3 linked regions of the Saccharomyces cerevisiae S288C genome follow. The protein of the gene in region 3 purifies or fractionates together with the protein of the main gene of each other region. This does not show direct contact. Each region holds a gene or a part of one and is shown on either strand. Other genes may lie near its edges.

The links. Proteins that work in one complex are often made in the same cells at the same time.
Region 1: the proteins of UTP9 (region 3) and DIP2 purify together in Saccharomyces cerevisiae (affinity purification with mass spectrometry, with the first as the bait; 3 studies listed by BioGRID). This does not show direct contact.
Region 2: the proteins of UTP9 (region 3) and KRE33 purify together in Saccharomyces cerevisiae (affinity purification with mass spectrometry; 4 studies listed by BioGRID). This does not show direct contact.

What each region holds. Positions count from the first base shown.
Region 1 is NC_001144.5:396,803-402,988, reverse strand, and holds DIP2 (snoRNA-binding rRNA-processing protein DIP2), read right to left. Parts: upstream 3,333-6,186; coding exon 501-3,332; downstream 1-500. Other genes in the region: low-affinity Zn(2+) transporter ZRT2, read left to right, coding at 1-195; NEDD8 ligase DCN1, read right to left, coding at 3,556-4,362, 4,457-4,459; APC2 (anaphase promoting complex subunit 2), read left to right, coding at 4,670-6,186. UniProt on the Saccharomyces cerevisiae protein: Involved in nucleolar processing of pre-18S ribosomal RNA.
Region 2 is NC_001146.8:372,218-378,991, reverse strand, and holds KRE33 (ribosome biosynthesis protein KRE33), read right to left. Parts: upstream 3,672-6,774; coding exon 501-3,671; downstream 1-500. Other genes in the region: TOM22 (Tom22p), read right to left, coding at 1-225; FYV6 (Fyv6p), read left to right, coding at 4,300-4,821; YNL134C (uncharacterized protein), read left to right, coding at 5,411-6,541; peptidylprolyl isomerase FPR1, read left to right, coding at 6,766-6,774. UniProt on the Saccharomyces cerevisiae protein: RNA cytidine acetyltransferase with specificity toward both 18S rRNA and tRNAs. Catalyzes the formation of N(4)-acetylcytidine (ac4C) at positions 1280 and 1773 in 18S rRNA.
Region 3 is NC_001140.6:490,023-494,158, forward strand, and holds UTP9 (Utp9p), read left to right. Parts: upstream 1-1,908; coding exon 1,909-3,636; downstream 3,637-4,136. Other genes in the region: MDM31 (Mdm31p), read left to right, coding at 1-374; NVJ1 (Nvj1p), read left to right, coding at 725-1,690; RIX1 (Rix1p), read left to right, coding at 3,874-4,136. UniProt on the Saccharomyces cerevisiae protein: Involved in nucleolar processing of pre-18S ribosomal RNA. Required for optimal pre-ribosomal RNA transcription by RNA polymerase I together with a subset of U3 proteins required for transcription (t-UTPs).

The sequences.
Region 1 (6,186 bases), on a different chromosome or scaffold from region 3:
TTAATTGCTAATGGTGTTTTTGACTCGATATCATCAGGAATTCTTATTTATACTGGACTAGTCGAATTAATGGCTCATGAATTCTTATACTCTAATCAATTCAAAGGACCTGATGGCCTCAAAAAAATGCTTAGTGCATATCTCATCATGTGTTGTGGAGCTGCTTTAATGGCTCTTCTAGGGAAATGGGCATAGTATCTCACGTATATTTTGTTAGATTAGATAGTTATTCATTATCAAAAAAAAAAAAATGCATGACCTATAATTTTACAACTGCTCTGCAGAGACGAGAGACATCTCGCAAAAAACAGCATATGTCAGCGACCAATAAGTATAAAAAACACATATTCCGTTATTTGGATATGCCCATTATTACCGAAGGGCAATCGGAATGACAATTTTTATGATTGGAATTGTATAATATACAGATAATTTAATCTATCCTTTTGAAGTGTGAAAAGGGCAGAGTAATGCCGGTATTATGTAGGATAATAGTTTTATTATATAACGGTCCCGAAAACTCTCTTCCTTGCACTATTACTCTCTTTCTCCTGTTGGTCATATTCGTCAACGAATTCGTAGTTATGCCTTAGATTCCATTGTTGCTTGACGAATTTCAACCCTTGAACATTAAAGCCTAGATCATCCTCGGTAGATTTTAATGCACTTCTTAATTCAGTCTTTACTCTATTTATTTGCAATTTCAATTCTTCATTTTTCTGAGAAACCAATTCTTTATGATTAAATTTGATAATGAAAAATAAATTCTTGCAAATTAATGGTAAGTGAGAGTGCAGCAAAGTTTTGTTTTGCATAACGGTATCAATAAATTTTAAAAATTTGAGGACATATGAGAATGGCATAACCATCAGTGCATCTTCTAACTGAGACATTCTTATTCTTAACAGGGTATCCATAATATATTGCTCAGGAGTTTTATTCACAGCAATTAGAACAGCGTTACCCTGTGGTTTTATTGGCGCTTCACCCAACTTCTTTCTTTGCCATAGCTTCATATCTCTGTTATATGCCTCTAAACCTTCAATCTCAGCAATTCCTAAATCTAGCGCCTCCATAAGTCTTTCACCAGCCTTTAACGATTCTAAAGTCTGTTTATGAACACCGGATGCTTCATCTTCAACGCCTTCACCCGATGCATCAGCTTTAAATGCATCATCACCGTTTCCTTCTTCCAAAGAAGTTAGCAATGTATCCTCGTACTGTTCTTCAAGTTCTTTCTCCTTTTCCTCTTCTAAAAATACCTGGTCCTCGGTTTCTTCCCAGATTCTTATACTGTGATCATGGGATGAAGAAACAACAAAGCCGCCATCAGTAGCAACCGCCAAAGCCCAAACTTCGCTCTGATGAGCGTATAGTTTTTGAATGCATTCAAATTTCTCGCCATCCCAATATTTCACCACTGCGTCTTTAGAACAACTAAAGAAGTTGTGAGACTGTGGTAAGAATTTAACGTTCATAATCGAATCCTGATGGGCAAATAAAGACTTGTGACAGTCACCAAAATCTAAACCCCAAATCTTGATATTTTTGTCTGCGGAAGACGTAATAATCATCTTAGAATCAAATGAAATATCGATAGATAGTACAGGTAATTTGTGCCCATATAAACTTAGGTAAAACTTCATTGAGTCCAAAAAGAATACCTTAACAGTATTATCCAGCAACGAGATGGCTAGATATCTATCGTCAGGAGAAACCCGTACACATAAAATGTCGTCAGTTAATTCCAAAGTTGTATCATGGTGCAGTTTTAAAACAGGCAGGAATTTGTTCTTGGTACCTGGCACTAGGCTATTTTCAACTTTGAAATCCCAAAACTTGACAGTTTTATCGGCAGATCCGGTCACTAATCGTTTACCATCTGAGGTCAGATCTAGCGACCAAATTGCCGCATCATGTGCATCTTCAATGGTATCCAAAAGACTTGATGATGCTAGATCAAAGAGCTGTAACTCCCCGTTTCTTGTACCCAGTATGACTAGTAGCCCACCTGGCAAAAACTTACAAGTTAATGCATACCCACATTCGAAAGTTCTGATACATTTATGTGTTTTGATATTCCATATTTTCAATGAACCATTGGATGCTGTGGCAAGTAATTTGTTATCATCACTGATGTCAATACTACGCACATCCGTTCTTTGCCCTTGCAATTCAATAGTATGTGTCTTGAGAGGAGCAGGGCTTGTTGGGTCTCTTTTTTCATATGGAATGGAATAATACTCTATGGTATTACTCGATGTAGTTAATACCAACTCAAGTTTGGAACTTGAGACCGTTGTCCATGATGCAGATTTTATTTTATACAATGATCTTATGGTTTGAAAAGGATGCAATATAAAGGAGGAGTAGGATTCTTTAATAGATTTTGCAATTTCTTCTTCTGTCAACCCCTTTTCTTTTAGCCTCTTCTCTCTTTTCTTTAAACCTCTTGCTATTTCTTCTTCTTTTCTAATTCTGAAAGTCTCGATGGTTTTATCAGCATTTTGGATGTAAAAAAAAGAGGTTTTGTCAGACGAATTTGTTATGAACTCAATCTTTAACCCACGTTGCTTACTTTGCTTTTCGAAAATACCCATCTCTGTTAGTTTCCCCCCCATTTTGTCATTTTCTATATCCAGTTTCCAAATTTTTACTTGACTATCAGTACCAGTTGTGATCAGTAAATCATCCTTCACTGCAAGGCCCCAACACTCTCCAGTATGCGCAATATGTGTCTCTATACATTGATGTGTTTTTAGGTCCCATAGCTTGATCATTCCATCTTTGGAGGTGCTGATCAGCCAATCTTCTCCTTGACACCAAAAGCCAGTAATGGAATCCTTGTGTGATCTAAGTTTATAAAGACCAACTTCTCCAACAAGATCCCATACAATGATATTGGAGTCCTTGGAACCAGAAATTAATCTTGTGCCAGTCCCATCAAATTGTAATAATGTTATAGCTGCTTTGTGACCGTTAAAATTCAAAAGCACAGTCTTAGACATCAAATCCCAAACTTTAATGACACCATCTGCGTAACCGACAGCTAATAAATCCGTATCTTTATGAGCCTCCAAATATGTACACTCGGCTGGCTTGGCGCCTCTAGCATCAGATGCGCCTGGAGGTAAGCCATCGGATAATTTACTGACCAAATCCCCGGTCTTAATATCCCATATATTAACGTCCTCGAGAGCACTCGTAATCAATTGTCCTGGTCCACTACCATTACTATTTCCGGATGACGCAGGTATCCAAACACAATTGGCATTGGAGGCTATTACACCAAAAGCAGCTGCTTGCTCAAAACGTTGGTATGATTTGACCATAATAGCTCTTATTCCAGTTTCTCTGGTCCTTCTAGTGGCTACTCTGATATACGTACGACCTTATACAATATCTACATCTATATTATGAGGGAACTGAAAATTTCTGAAAAATTTTCCACTGCTCATCGCGTTTTTTATTTCCGCCTTATTCCCATCTATCTTAGAAGGGTAACGTATTCCATGCAATATTAAACAGCATACCCTTAAGTATATGAAAGGATGTTTATTGCTGATCCTGTAAGCACTCATAGAACTCATCGATAATAAATGGCCAGGCTGCAGTTTCGTCGTAATCGCTTATTATTTTCTGAATAGTGGGGTATCGTTTGAAAAAGAGGAGCAGCATACGCCAGGTGTCTTTACTTATAGTGGTTTTCCCCTCATCGCGAAGGAAACGGAACCATGCCTCAAGCAAATCTGGTTCCATACGCACTGGGTACTCTGGTTGGAAAAATAGCTTCCAATACTGGATGCCTTCGTCTGTATCTATATCCTTTCGATTTGGGTCCAGAATCAAATTGAAAGCATAGTTATAAATCTGTGTGAAATATTGTAAGTCTTCATGTAATTTAACATCTAACGTCTTGATGCACTCTTGCATGTCTGAAATGGTGGAACAGCCTTGCATAAACCATGTTGACAGGAAGTCCTCTCGTTTTAAGGGTTCTTCTAGTTTCTTGTACCCCAGTAAATGGGCTAAGCATAATGTCGCTAAATCTTCAAGATTGTAGCCTAGCTCCTCAATGAACTTGACCAGTGAGTCTATATCAAACAAGTTGTTATTGATATAGTGTTCAAATACCTGTGTTAGCTCCTTCGGGTATACGGGTGGATGAGCCACAGTTGAAACCTCGTCAGTAAACGTCCCTATTTCCTTGTCATAATAATCATTGAGAGCGTAATTGATGTTCCAGTGATTACGCTGCAGGTACTTCCTGGATACCTTGGGGTCACATTTGGTTAATGAGGTGAATGATTCAATTGCCTCTTGTTCCGGGCTTGCATCCTTTCTTTTTATTTTATTATTACTCTATAATGATGCATCACATTTGAGCGCCCCTTGCCAATAAAGTGTTAGTACTTTGAAGAGCCTGAGAACTAAAGAAACGAAATTAAAAACATACCATGTCCTGAATGCAAGAACGTCTCTTCAAAAATTTCTTTTTTTATTGGGTACTTGCATGTTACTGCGTAAGTTCATTAGTTGCATCTAAATTTTCAAACCTTTGGTTACAAAAACAGTAATAGACAAAAGAGCCAAAATATCGAAAACTAGACGAAAGCCAGACTTAGCGGGACTGTAAATATTTATGGCTTATAGTTAAGGTTTTTCCATCATGTCATTTCAGATTACCCCAACTCGAGATTTGAAAGTTATTACAGATGAGTTACAAACACTTTCCTCATACATCTTTCACACAAACATAGTCGATGATTTGAACTCTTTACTTACATGGATGAGCCCTAATGATGCCAAGAGTAACCATCAACTACGTCCTCCAAGCCTTCGTATTAAGAATATCATTAAGGTTCTCTTCCCTAATAACGCAACCACATCGCCATATAGCATGATAAACACTAGTCAGGCAAACAATTCAATAGTTAATGAGGGAAATACAAACAAAGAGTTACAACTACAACTTTTTTCCACGCTCAAAGAGTTTTATATTTTCCAGGTTCGTTATCATTTTTTCTTACATTTTAACAACATTAATTATCTAAAAGATATCCAACGATGGGAAAATTATTACGAGTTTCCTTTACGTTACGTTCCTATTTTTGACGTAAATGTAAACGACTGGGCACTTGAACTTAATTCTTTAAGACATTATCTGTTGAATAGAAATATAAAGTTCAAAAATAATTTAAGAACAAGATTAGACAAATTAATAATGGATGATGATTTCGACCTGGCAGACAATTTAATCCAATGGCTCAAATCTGCTAATGGTTCCTTATCCTCTACGGAATTGATAGTCAATGCTCTTTACAGCAAAATCAATAAATTTTGTGAAGATAACATGAGTAGAGTATGGAATAAAAGGTTTATGATTATGGAAACATTCAACAAATTTATTAATCAATATTGGTCTCAGTTCTCTAAATTAGTCGGTTGTCCAGAGGATGATCACGAACTGACCACTACAGTTTTCAACTGTTTTGAGTCCAATTTTCTTAGGATAAGAACGAATGAAATCTTTGATATATGCGTTTTGGCTTATCCTGATTCAAAGGTTACTTTATTGGAATTGAGGAAAATTATGAAAGATTTTAAAGACTACACAAATATTGTAACAACTTTTTTGTCTGATTTCAAGAAATACATTCTAAACCCCAGCGTAACTACGGTGGACGCTTTGTTGAGATATGTTAAAACTATCAAAGCATTTTTGGTCCTGGATCCAACAGGGAGATGCCTACATTCAATAACCACGTTTGTTAAACCTTACTTTCAGGAGCGGAAGCACTTAGTAAATGTATTGTTATACGCAATGTTGGACTTACCTGAAGAAGAACTAAAGGAGAAAATTAATTTCAATGTAGATATGAAGGCACTGCTCTCACTTGTAGACACTTTGCACGATTCTGATATCAATCAAGATACGAACATCACCAAAAGGGACAAGAATAAAAAAAGCCCCTTTCTATGGAACCTCAAGGTGAAAGGAAAGAGGGAATTGAACAAGGACCTACCAATAAGACACGCCATGCTATACGAACATATACTCAATTATTATATAGCTTGGGTACCAGAGCCTAATGACATGATTCCCGGTAACATCAAATCAAGTTATATTAAGACAAATTTGTTTGAGGTGCTTTTGGATCTATTTGAATCAAGAGAATTTTTCAT
Region 2 (6,774 bases), on a different chromosome or scaffold from region 3:
TTGTCTCTTACCTGGGGGGACAATGTCTTTTAAAGCAACGATTCTGTCCAACAATGTTTCATTTTCATCAAATTCATCTTCAAAATCACTATCAGAGTCATCTTCATCATCGACAACGTCGTTGTTTGTTGCAGAAGCCTTTTCTTCCACGATGGCCTGATTTCTGGAAAATTGTGGTTCGTCTAATTGAACGACATCGTCTTTAATTTCAGTTAATTCGACCATTTGAATGATGCTTATTTTGGGGTATATAGTTCCGTTTTGACCTCTTTGGTTACTTCGTATTACTCCAAAAGTTACTCACTACGGAGTGGAGTATGTTGATTGAAATTGTCTAAAACGGGTTCAGTTTTCGCCGGCATAATCGTAATACTTATATCGCTCGACACGATTGAAAGGAATATGTAAAGGTTCAAACATCAACTATGTTTCTATTCTATATTATTGTACAAATTAAGTAAACGTTTAGCTATAAAAGGGTTTGACAAAGAGTAGAACGCTTAATTTGCAGCCTTTTTAGACTTTCTTGGTTTTTTCATAGCTTTCATCTCTTGTCTATAGATATCTTCAGCCTTTTCAGTCGTTCTCTTTTTACCAGTTTTTAAACTGACGACGCCTTTGGCCTTGGCAGCTATTTCTAAAGATTTTTGAGATTCAGCCCATTCCTCACTGTTATCATTTATGGCGTATTTATCTAAGTTCAAGGAGTTGATTAGCTCTTTTTGTTTTTCCCTCATCGCCTGAACGGCTTCAGAACCGGCTTCTTCTAAATCTTCTTCCATTTGGTCCAGTGCTTCTGCAGCGTTGTAATTTTTGATTTCTTCACCATCCATTTCAGCAATAGCATCATCTTTGATATTTGGTAGAGTTTCTTCAATTGATTGGCTTAACAGCTGACGGAAGTACTGAGACATTTTTCTCATGATCTTCGCAAACATAGCAATAGTTTGATTGGAAGGTAAATTCAATTCCTTGGCAATAGTGTCGATGTTTTTACGCTGTAACCCTATAGCCAACAGGATAGCACTCTGGACGCTTGATAGTTTTACTGAATCTCCCATTTTATCGCCGAAGTACAAAAGAGCAAGCATGGGTATCATATCACCGATAACGTGATAATCTAGCAAATTATTTGAGTAGCTATCCAATCTTTTCAAGTCAAATGGAGAAAAAATGTCATCCAGATGCGTCCGCGTCAATTCTTTATTATCATGCTTTTCGTCATCAGACAAATCTTGTGCTTTCTTACTACTTTCAATGACACTTAAGGCTTGAACGGCAGTAAACTTATGAAAATCATAAGAAAGAAGCGACAGAAATCTTTTACGGAAATCTTTGGCAAATTCAACGAGCCAGTTTGATTCTCTGCCTTCCAAAACGTTCAACATAACACAAGTATGTTCACCAGTTAAATCGTTTGCGGTTTGACGTAAATAAACAGGAACAAAGCTGTTATTCTTCCAGAATTTATGCAACGATTGCGTTAAACCATATGAAACACCCAAATAATGTAGATAATGAGGAGGCTGTTCAGAAAGTTTTAATAGTAGAGGTGGCAACGTTTTTGCGTCTCTTAATTTAACGTCATCCTTTAATAAATTAGTTTTGGCCAGTTCCTTATCGCTCACCCTCTTTATAGAATAATCCTTAGGACGAACATCTTCAGACATGTCAGTGAATTTACCCTCGAAATAGTCTCTCAGTAATTCAATTGCACGAGAACCATAGCCCATGGATGCGTATTCAGGATTAGTGGCAATTCTGACGATACGAGCACCACTCAAACTAGCGAATTCCTCGTCTTGGAATTGTTGAGAGATCAGCCATGGGATTAAATCACCACCAGCTCTTTGGCCTCTCGATAATGAATTTCTGACACTCTCCTTACTGATTTCACCTTCCAATGCAATTTGAATGACACATAGAGGGTCAGGGATCCTGCCGCCATCCTTTGGATCAATTGGTGGTAAAAGAACAAATAGTTTGTGCGCTGGGGCGTCACTCATCAGTTGTAAGTCGTTTGGAGAATTCTTGTAATGGGATGAAACGTACAGTGCCATCATTTTTTCCAGGAAATTTTCTGAGACAGGATGATAAGAAAATAGAGTATCTCTATTGACAACAAATAGATTACATTGGGATGGGTGAGGAGTTCCTCTTGTTGCAAATCTTGGGTTTTTAATTAAAGTAACATCTAAACATAAGAGCTTGTTTAACCATTTTTCAATTGGGTCACCAGGAGCATATCTGATTGGTTCGTCCAAGGAAATTTCACGTAATTGACGGGATTGAGAATGTAAGTGAGAGTCTTTTTCCTTATTATCTCTCGAAACAACGGCGGTTTGAGTACTTTCCCGACCGGATGTGTTGTTTTGATTACGCAATTGCTGAATTAACTTCAGAGATAAAGATCTACCCGTACCTTCGTAACCATTGATAGTGGATGCCATGAAGACTAGATATGGGCCCAGCAAGTTCTTGACGATTGGCAAAGGAATAGCTGCAGCTTCATCAATGACAACTAATTCAGCTTGGCCCAGAACTTGATGGTCTTGAGGAACAATATATTGAATCGTTTGTCTGTGATCTCTTTTAATATCAACTCTCACAATGGCTTTGTTGAAGTCGGGGTTCGTAGATTGAATGATATCATAATCAATGTGTTCTTGGTAACCTAAGGCATCGAATCCTTTGAAAATAAACTCAAATAGAGTCTTTAAATTTTCGGGAGATGGAGAAGTAACAAAAATATTAGAATACCCGTGAGAAACGGCCGCGGCAATAGAAATACCTAAAGCAGCAGACTTACCTCTACCTCTTCCAGCTGTTAGTGCAACTGTGAAATTCAAAGTTTTTTCCGAAATGGCATCAATGAAAGAAAGAATAGCGTGGGCTTGATTGACAGTTTTGGATAGAGAAACCAATGAACCAGCTGGTTGGACATCTTCTAAGGATTCTTTTAATTCTTGCAACTCTAATTGCTTTGGAGGCAATTCGTCATCTTCCTTAGGAGGTAGTGGTTTCACGTTTTTGGCACCAGATAGCGGTAGAACATTTAATTCATCATCAACGACTAAACAGTTTGGATTTGAACCTAAAGAAAGTATGAATCTTTCGTTAAATCTTGCAACAACGTCACCATGAGCCTCAGTACGATAACGGGCGTGAACATCCATAGTCATGGTGTACAGTTGCTTTAACGATGACATTGATTTCAATAAAATAACCACAATACCACCACCTTCTACAGTTTCAATGGTTCTTGCTAAAAGATTTGGGGTTAATGCCTCGAAGTCCTGAAGAATACACATACCATAGGTATTACCCAATATTTTCTCACTCTCTTTGTAGTATACATATCTGATATTTTGGTTAGAGATAAAAGATTCAAAAGGGTCCATTTCATTCACTTCCCTTGTACCTCTTTTAATTTCTTTCTTAATTTTATTCTCTCTTTTTTTTCTGTGCGAAGTGAATCCTAGAAGCTTCTTCTTATAAGCCCATAAGACGGACTTGTTCATCTTAAGGTCAGCACTCATCATCAAATAATGTAAATTTGGGAGCTGGTTACGTGCCCTGTCCCCAACGATGACAAATATGGACCTTTGTTTGGTTTGAACACCATTCCTGATCAGTGACGGGATTCTTGAATCGATAGCTTTTTTGGCCATTTTCTCCTTGTTTTATAAGTCTCTTATAAGTCTTTGCAAGTTAAAAACTAAGAAATATAAAAGGTGACTTGGCTTATATACTCTATTGCGTACTTTATTTGAGATAAATACAGAATCTCCATGCATCTTCAGCACCTCATCTCATCTCATTGTATCTTGGCTCTTCATTTTTTTTTTTCAAAATTTTTCACACGATTCCGGGTAAACTATTACTTTTTACAACTAATTCAGATATACCTGGGAAGTTACAATGGAAAACATGCAATGTTCGGTCTGGCTTGTATCATTTGATTGGAAAAGCGAGCATCGGTTGATACTGAACACATCCACATGCGTAATCATTAAAAAAAATTTTTCAAATTGCGAACTCTGTGGATCGAACACAGGACCTCCAGATGACTTGACCGAAGTTTTTCTTCAGTCTGGCGCTCTCCCAACTGAGCTAAGTCCGCTTATTTTTCTGAAACCTTTTCCGCCTTTTTGTCGTCCCTAGGAATTACTTTTGATGCACTGCCAATCTGAGGGAAAAATGACGTTTAAACGCACGAGAATGTGCAATTAGATGTAAGTCCATCGAAGCCTAGAGAAAGCGGTTCCAACAAAAGACTGTGGGCTCTGTTATATCATCATGTCATCTACCAGTGATAATAATGCTAATAGTGCAAGAGAGAAAAAACCACTGAAATTCGTGTCAGAAGGAGTTGGTAATGTAGAGGCCCAGAGGATACGAGAGCAAGTGGAGCAAAAAAAATATGAAGCGGAATATAAAAGGAAAACCAGGAAGTCCCTGCGAGATCAGCTTAGGTCTAATGCTATTAGTAAACAAAAACAATATAACGGTTTGGTGAGAGACCGTGAAAGTTTTACTAGGTTGAGTAAAGAGGACCTGGAATTTTACCAGAAGAGCAAGAATGAGTTGCTAAAAAAGGAAAAAGAACTGAATAACTACTTAGACGTCAAGGCAATCAATTTTGAAAAGAAAAAAAAAGCATTACTAATGGAGAACGATTCTACTACTAATACAGAAAAATATTTAGAGACCGGCACTAGTTTGGGCAGTAAAACACAAATAAAGGGCGTAAAGACATCCAGCCCTAAACCAAAAATCAAGGTATCCATAAAAAAATTGGGTAGAAAACTGGAGAACTGATGTGATGGCCTACACACTTCGTCACAACTAGAGCTTTATGCCAAGATTAAACTTCAAGTTATATAAATTATGTAAACATTGGACATACAAAACTCGGAAACTCTTTTTCTATTCATCTTCCCTTCTCGTACGTGCCCACGGAAGCAATAAAAAGAACCGAAATAACCAACACCCGTAACGTCAAAGCATTCATGCTTAGAATGGAAACCATTTCGTGGAATGAAATGGCAAATTGATCACATTGATTGCTCGTTCCACTACCTGTGTCCGCAATTTTTTAATGGTCATCACAGCCCCTGCTGACTAAAGTTCCTCGGATCCGCTTACGGTTGTCGCGCGGTTCCGCCCCTGCGTACTCTTAGTACCTAGCATATGGGCTCCCTCCGTTGGATTGGCATCGATTAGTAAGGACAGATGTTAAGGATTTAAGACCGTTTTTAAGGTATTTCGGCAATGCTTCGATTTAAAAGGAGAGAGTTTTTTTTTTGCCGTTTTCTTCCTCTCACTTCTTGATTAGTACTGTAATTCTAGTTGAAAAAAAATCGTTAACTATACACAGCAAAAAGCAATATCATACTGCATATCAAGCATGTCCGCCTCGATTCCAGAAACCATGAAAGCCGTTGTCATTGAAAATGGCAAGGCTGTAGTCAAACAGGACATTCCAATTCCTGAATTAGAAGAAGGATTTGTTCTAATTAAGACTGTCGCCGTTGCCGGTAACCCTACCGATTGGAAACATATTGATTTCAAGATTGGTCCTCAAGGTGCCCTCTTAGGCTGTGATGCAGCCGGCCAAATCGTAAAGTTGGGCCCAAATGTTGATGCTGCACGCTTTGCCATTGGTGATTACATTTATGGGGTTATTCACGGTGCTTCAGTGAGGTTCCCCTCAAACGGTGCCTTTGCTGAGTACTCTGCCATTTCATCCGAGACTGCTTATAAACCAGCCAGAGAGTTTAGATTGTGCGGTAAAGACAAGCTACCAGAAGGCCCCGTAAAATCTTTAGAAGGGGCAGTATCCCTCCCAGTCTCATTGACCACGGCTGGTATGATCCTTACACATAGTTTTGGCTTGGACATGACATGGAAGCCCTCCAAAGCGCAAAGAGATCAACCCATCTTATTTTGGGGTGGTGCCACTGCTGTTGGCCAGATGCTTATTCAATTGGCAAAAAAACTAAACGGTTTCAGCAAGATCATCGTCGTTGCTTCTCGTAAACATGAAAAATTGTTGAAAGAGTACGGTGCAGATGAACTTTTTGACTACCACGATGCTGACGTTATCGAACAGATAAAAAAGAAGTACAACAACATTCCTTACTTGGTGGACTGTGTCTCCAACACAGAAACTATTCAACAGGTGTACAAATGTGCCGCTGATGACTTAGACGCTACGGTCGTTCAATTGACCGTTTTAACCGAAAAAGATATCAAGGAGGAAGACAGGAGGCAAAACGTCAGTATTGAAGGAACCCTTCTATATTTGATAGGAGGTAACGACGTCCCATTTGGCACGTTTACTTTGCCAGCAGACCCTGAATACAAGGAAGCCGCCATAAAATTTATTAAGTTCATCAATCCAAAAATCAATGATGGTGAAATCCACCACATCCCAGTGAAAGTTTACAAGAACGGGTTAGATGATATCCCACAGTTACTTGATGATATTAAGCACGGGAGGAATTCTGGCGAAAAGTTGGTTGCCGTCTTGAAATAAATAATCTATAGCTACTTATGTATATAGCGCTTGATCATTCTGTTTACCTCCACATTATAGTGCCGTTCAATTCCCCTCACCCGCCTTAGTCTTTTTCGGGCAAAAAAAATTGCCGGAAGAGAGACGTCGTTGAAAGAATTTGGTGGATAAACTCGTGAAAGCTTAAAGTAAGGCCTTTCACCTAAACTCGAGTATAAGCAAAAAATCAATCAAAACAAGTAATAATGTCTGAA
Region 3 (4,136 bases):
TTGACCCGAACGACTACTTTATTATGGACTTTTCTTTAAGACTATACAATGTCAAAGCCGAAGTCCCTCTGTTCACTTCTGGCTTAACGTATATCAATAGTGCATTGATAAGGCCTATTGTCGGGTACATCAATTCTCACAGGACATACATCCCAATCAAATGCCGCATTGTAAAGAAAAAGTCTGATTTTGAGGGCTCCTGGACCATATATGATTCATACCTTATGCGGGATCTAAGTGCGGAAGCGTACGATGCCTTCGCCGACTACGTCGCTGACGATGAAAAGAGGACATTACGCTTGAGAAGGGTGGGCTTTTGGTCACTGCAACTTATACTCCAGGTGATTTTGATGAGTCTCGGTGCTATCGCGTGAGGAATACCTACTCCTGTCACTTTCTGTACATATGCATTTACATAGCATCGTTCTTTCTATCAGTTTATCTAATTTGTGACGCATCTTTCTTCTTTCTACACTGCGGAAAATCCTATTTGAAAAAAAATAGACGAAAAATATCAGGACCCACCCCCTTATGAAGGAGAGAAGGGGAAGAGGAGCTGCAAAACAAAAAGGTGAGGCTTCTTCTGTCCAGATTTTTGTGAGTGAGAGAGTGTGTGGGAAGAGAAGGAATTAAACCAAACAAAAATTGGAACCAACAACTGTTGCGTTTGCGTGTGTGCATAATATCAAAAAAGCTACAAATATAATTGTAAAATATAATAAGCATGACTCGTCCCCCATTGGTTCGTGGAATCTTTTCGTTAGGTCTTTCTGTAGCCGTTTTGAAAGGTGTTGAAAAAACAGTTCGTAAGCATTTGGAAAGACAGGGATGGATAGAGCCCCAGAAAGTGGACTATGAGTTAATTTTCACTATAGATAGGTTGAAAAACTTGGTAGATAATAAGCGTGAGGCTTTAACTGCGGAACAACCCGACGCTGGTGAACTGAGCTGGCGTAAAGTATTTAATTTCATTTCCAGACAATCCAGCGAATTGGACACACGAATATACGTTCTTATACTACTCCTATCCTTTCTACTACCTATCGCGTGGACTGTACTGGACGGTGATCGCGAGACCACGCTAGAAGATAAGGATAACGATTGTAATGTAGATCTTATTGAAAACGAAAGGAGGCTGAAGCATTACAACGATGGTGAAAGAGCAGTATTGCAATTTGGTAAAAATAGATCCGAACCTATTATATTAAGCTATAAGGACATGAACGTTTTGGAAGGGGAACATGAGTTTACCTCCAAAGAGGAACACAGTAACAGCCATTTGACAAGCAAGAGCGAAAATGCACTAAACCAAGTAGGGAGTGAAGATTTGTTAGGTTGTCACCTGGAAAAGCAATTGGAAGAAGACAAAAATGAACCGAATGGAGAAGCAGACGGTGAGGATGATAATAACCGGGAAAAGGATTGCAGCTCCAGTTCAGAAGTTGAGTCGCAGAGTAAATGCCGAAAGGAAAGTACTGCAGAGCCTGACTCTCTCTCACGGGATACCAGAACAACCTCTTCCCTTAAATCAAGTACATCATTCCCCATATCATTCAAGGGCTCGATAGACCTTAAGTCGTTAAACCAGCCTTCATCATTGTTGCATATACAAGTATCTCCCACAAAATCTAGTAATCTAGATGCACAAGTGAACACTGAACAAGCATACTCTCAACCATTTAGATACTAATGTACTATATTTCCGTCATCTCGGTTATCATCGTCACTTACAACGAGGTGCGAAAATTTTTTTCTTCTAAAGGTGAGAAGAAAACATGAAAAATTTTGAAAAATTTAACGATGAGATGGAGTTTTCAAGTAACTTTATGTAGTTGAAATACATATTAGTACTCCGTTGCAATATATAACGCCGGGCATTCTCCACGTATATACATACCGTAGTGCACAATGGGCTCCTCTTTGGATTTGGTGGCGAGCTTCTCGCATGATTCCACTCGTTTTGCATTCCAAGCAAGCGTCGCACAAAAGAACAATGTGGATATTTATCCATTAAATGAAACTAAGGATTATGTGGTCAATAGTTCATTAGTGAGTCATATTGACTATGAGACAAACGATATGAAGGTTTCAGATGTAATCTTCTTTGGGTGGTGTAGTGATTTGATAGATACGCAGTCATCCAATATCAAAAGAAAATTAGATGAAGATGAAGGAACTGGTGAATCAAGTGAGCAAAGATGTGAAAACTTTTTCGTTAACGGATTTCCTGACGGAAGAATTGTTGTTTACTCTTCTAATGGTAAGGATATAGTTAATATCATCAAGAATAAAAAAGAGATTTTGGGAGCAGACACAGACGAGTCTGATATATGGATTTTGGATAGTGATAAAGTCGTTAAGAAATTACAGTATAACAATTCGAAACCTCTAAAGACTTTTACGCTAGTTGATGGTAAAGATGACGAAATAGTTCATTTCCAAATTTTGCACCAAAATGGCACTTTATTGGTATGCATTATTACTAAACAGATGGTTTATATTGTTGATCCATCAAAGAGAAGACCCTCTACTAAGTATAGTTTTGAAATATCAGACGCTGTAGCATGTGAATTTTCTTCAGACGGTAAGTATCTGTTAATTGCCAACAACGAAGAATTAATAGCTTACGACTTGAAGGAAGATTCAAAGCTGATCCAATCATGGCCTGTCCAAGTGAAGACATTGAAAACTTTAGATGATTTGATAATGGCTTTGACTACTGATGGTAAAATTAATAATTATAAGATTGGCGAAGCCGACAAAGTTTGTTCTATAGTTGTAAATGAAGATTTGGAAATTATAGATTTCACGCCAATAAACAGCAAGCAACAGGTTCTAATTTCATGGCTAAATGTCAATGAACCCAACTTTGAATCTATTTCTTTAAAAGAAATTGAAACTCAGGGGTATATTACAATAAACAAAAATGAAAAAAATAATGCTGATGAAGCGGACCAAAAGAAATTAGAAGAGAAAGAAGAAGAAGCTCAGCCTGAAGTTCAACATGAGAAGAAGGAGACTGAAACTAAGATAAACAAGAAAGTTAGTAAATCAGATCAAGTTGAAATTGCTAATATTCTCTCATCGCATTTAGAAGCTAATTCAACAGAAATATTGGATGATCTGATGTCTGGAAGTTGGACAGAACCAGAGATTAAAAAATTCATCTTAACCAAGATCAATACAGTAGATCATCTAAGTAAGATATTTTTGACTATATCAAAGTCAATAACACAAAATCCATGGAATGAAGAAAATTTACTTCCGTTGTGGCTTAAGTGGTTGCTGACTTTGAAAAGTGGGGAGTTAAATTCTATAAAGGATAAACATACAAAGAAAAATTGCAAGCATTTAAAATCTGCATTAAGATCTTCAGAGGAGATCTTGCCTGTTCTACTCGGTATACAAGGTAGATTAGAAATGTTGAGGAGGCAAGCAAAATTGAGAGAGGATCTTGCACAACTATCTATGCAAGAGGGTGAAGATGATGAAATAGAAGTTATAGAGCATTCAAATGTAATTAGTAATCCTTTGCAGGATCAAGCATCGCCTGTTGAAAAGCTTGAACCAGATTCAATTGTTTATGCAAATGGAGAAAGTGACGAATTTGTCGACGCATCGGAATACAAAGATTGATCAAGCATTTTAAATATATTTAAGTATATACAAAGAAAAGTTTCACATGAGAAGCACTGATTGATGCAGCTATTAATTTTCAAAAGATTACGTTGTCTTCATCATTTGAGACGGGTCATCGCAAGAAAATTTTTCAATATTAAACTATAATAAAATGTAGTAAAAAATAGATGCAATACTACTATTCAATTTTTGTGGTTTTCCAGTTATCAAACTAAGTATAGACAAAATTTGAGCATGTCAGAGGAATTTATCGCAGTTTCTACTTTGGCTAGAAACCTGGAAATTGCCAAGGGTAATGAGTTTCATACCATTTTGGCGACTTTAAGATCACCAGTTTATATCAATGAACAGCTGCTAAAATCCGAATTGAGCTTCCTTGTTACAAAAATCCTAAAACTTATCAGATCAGGCAATGACTTTGATCTTTGGAAAGGATGTCACACCTCTGTTGTGACTTGCGCCTATAATCCACTGGTCTTATCGACTCATGGAGGTCA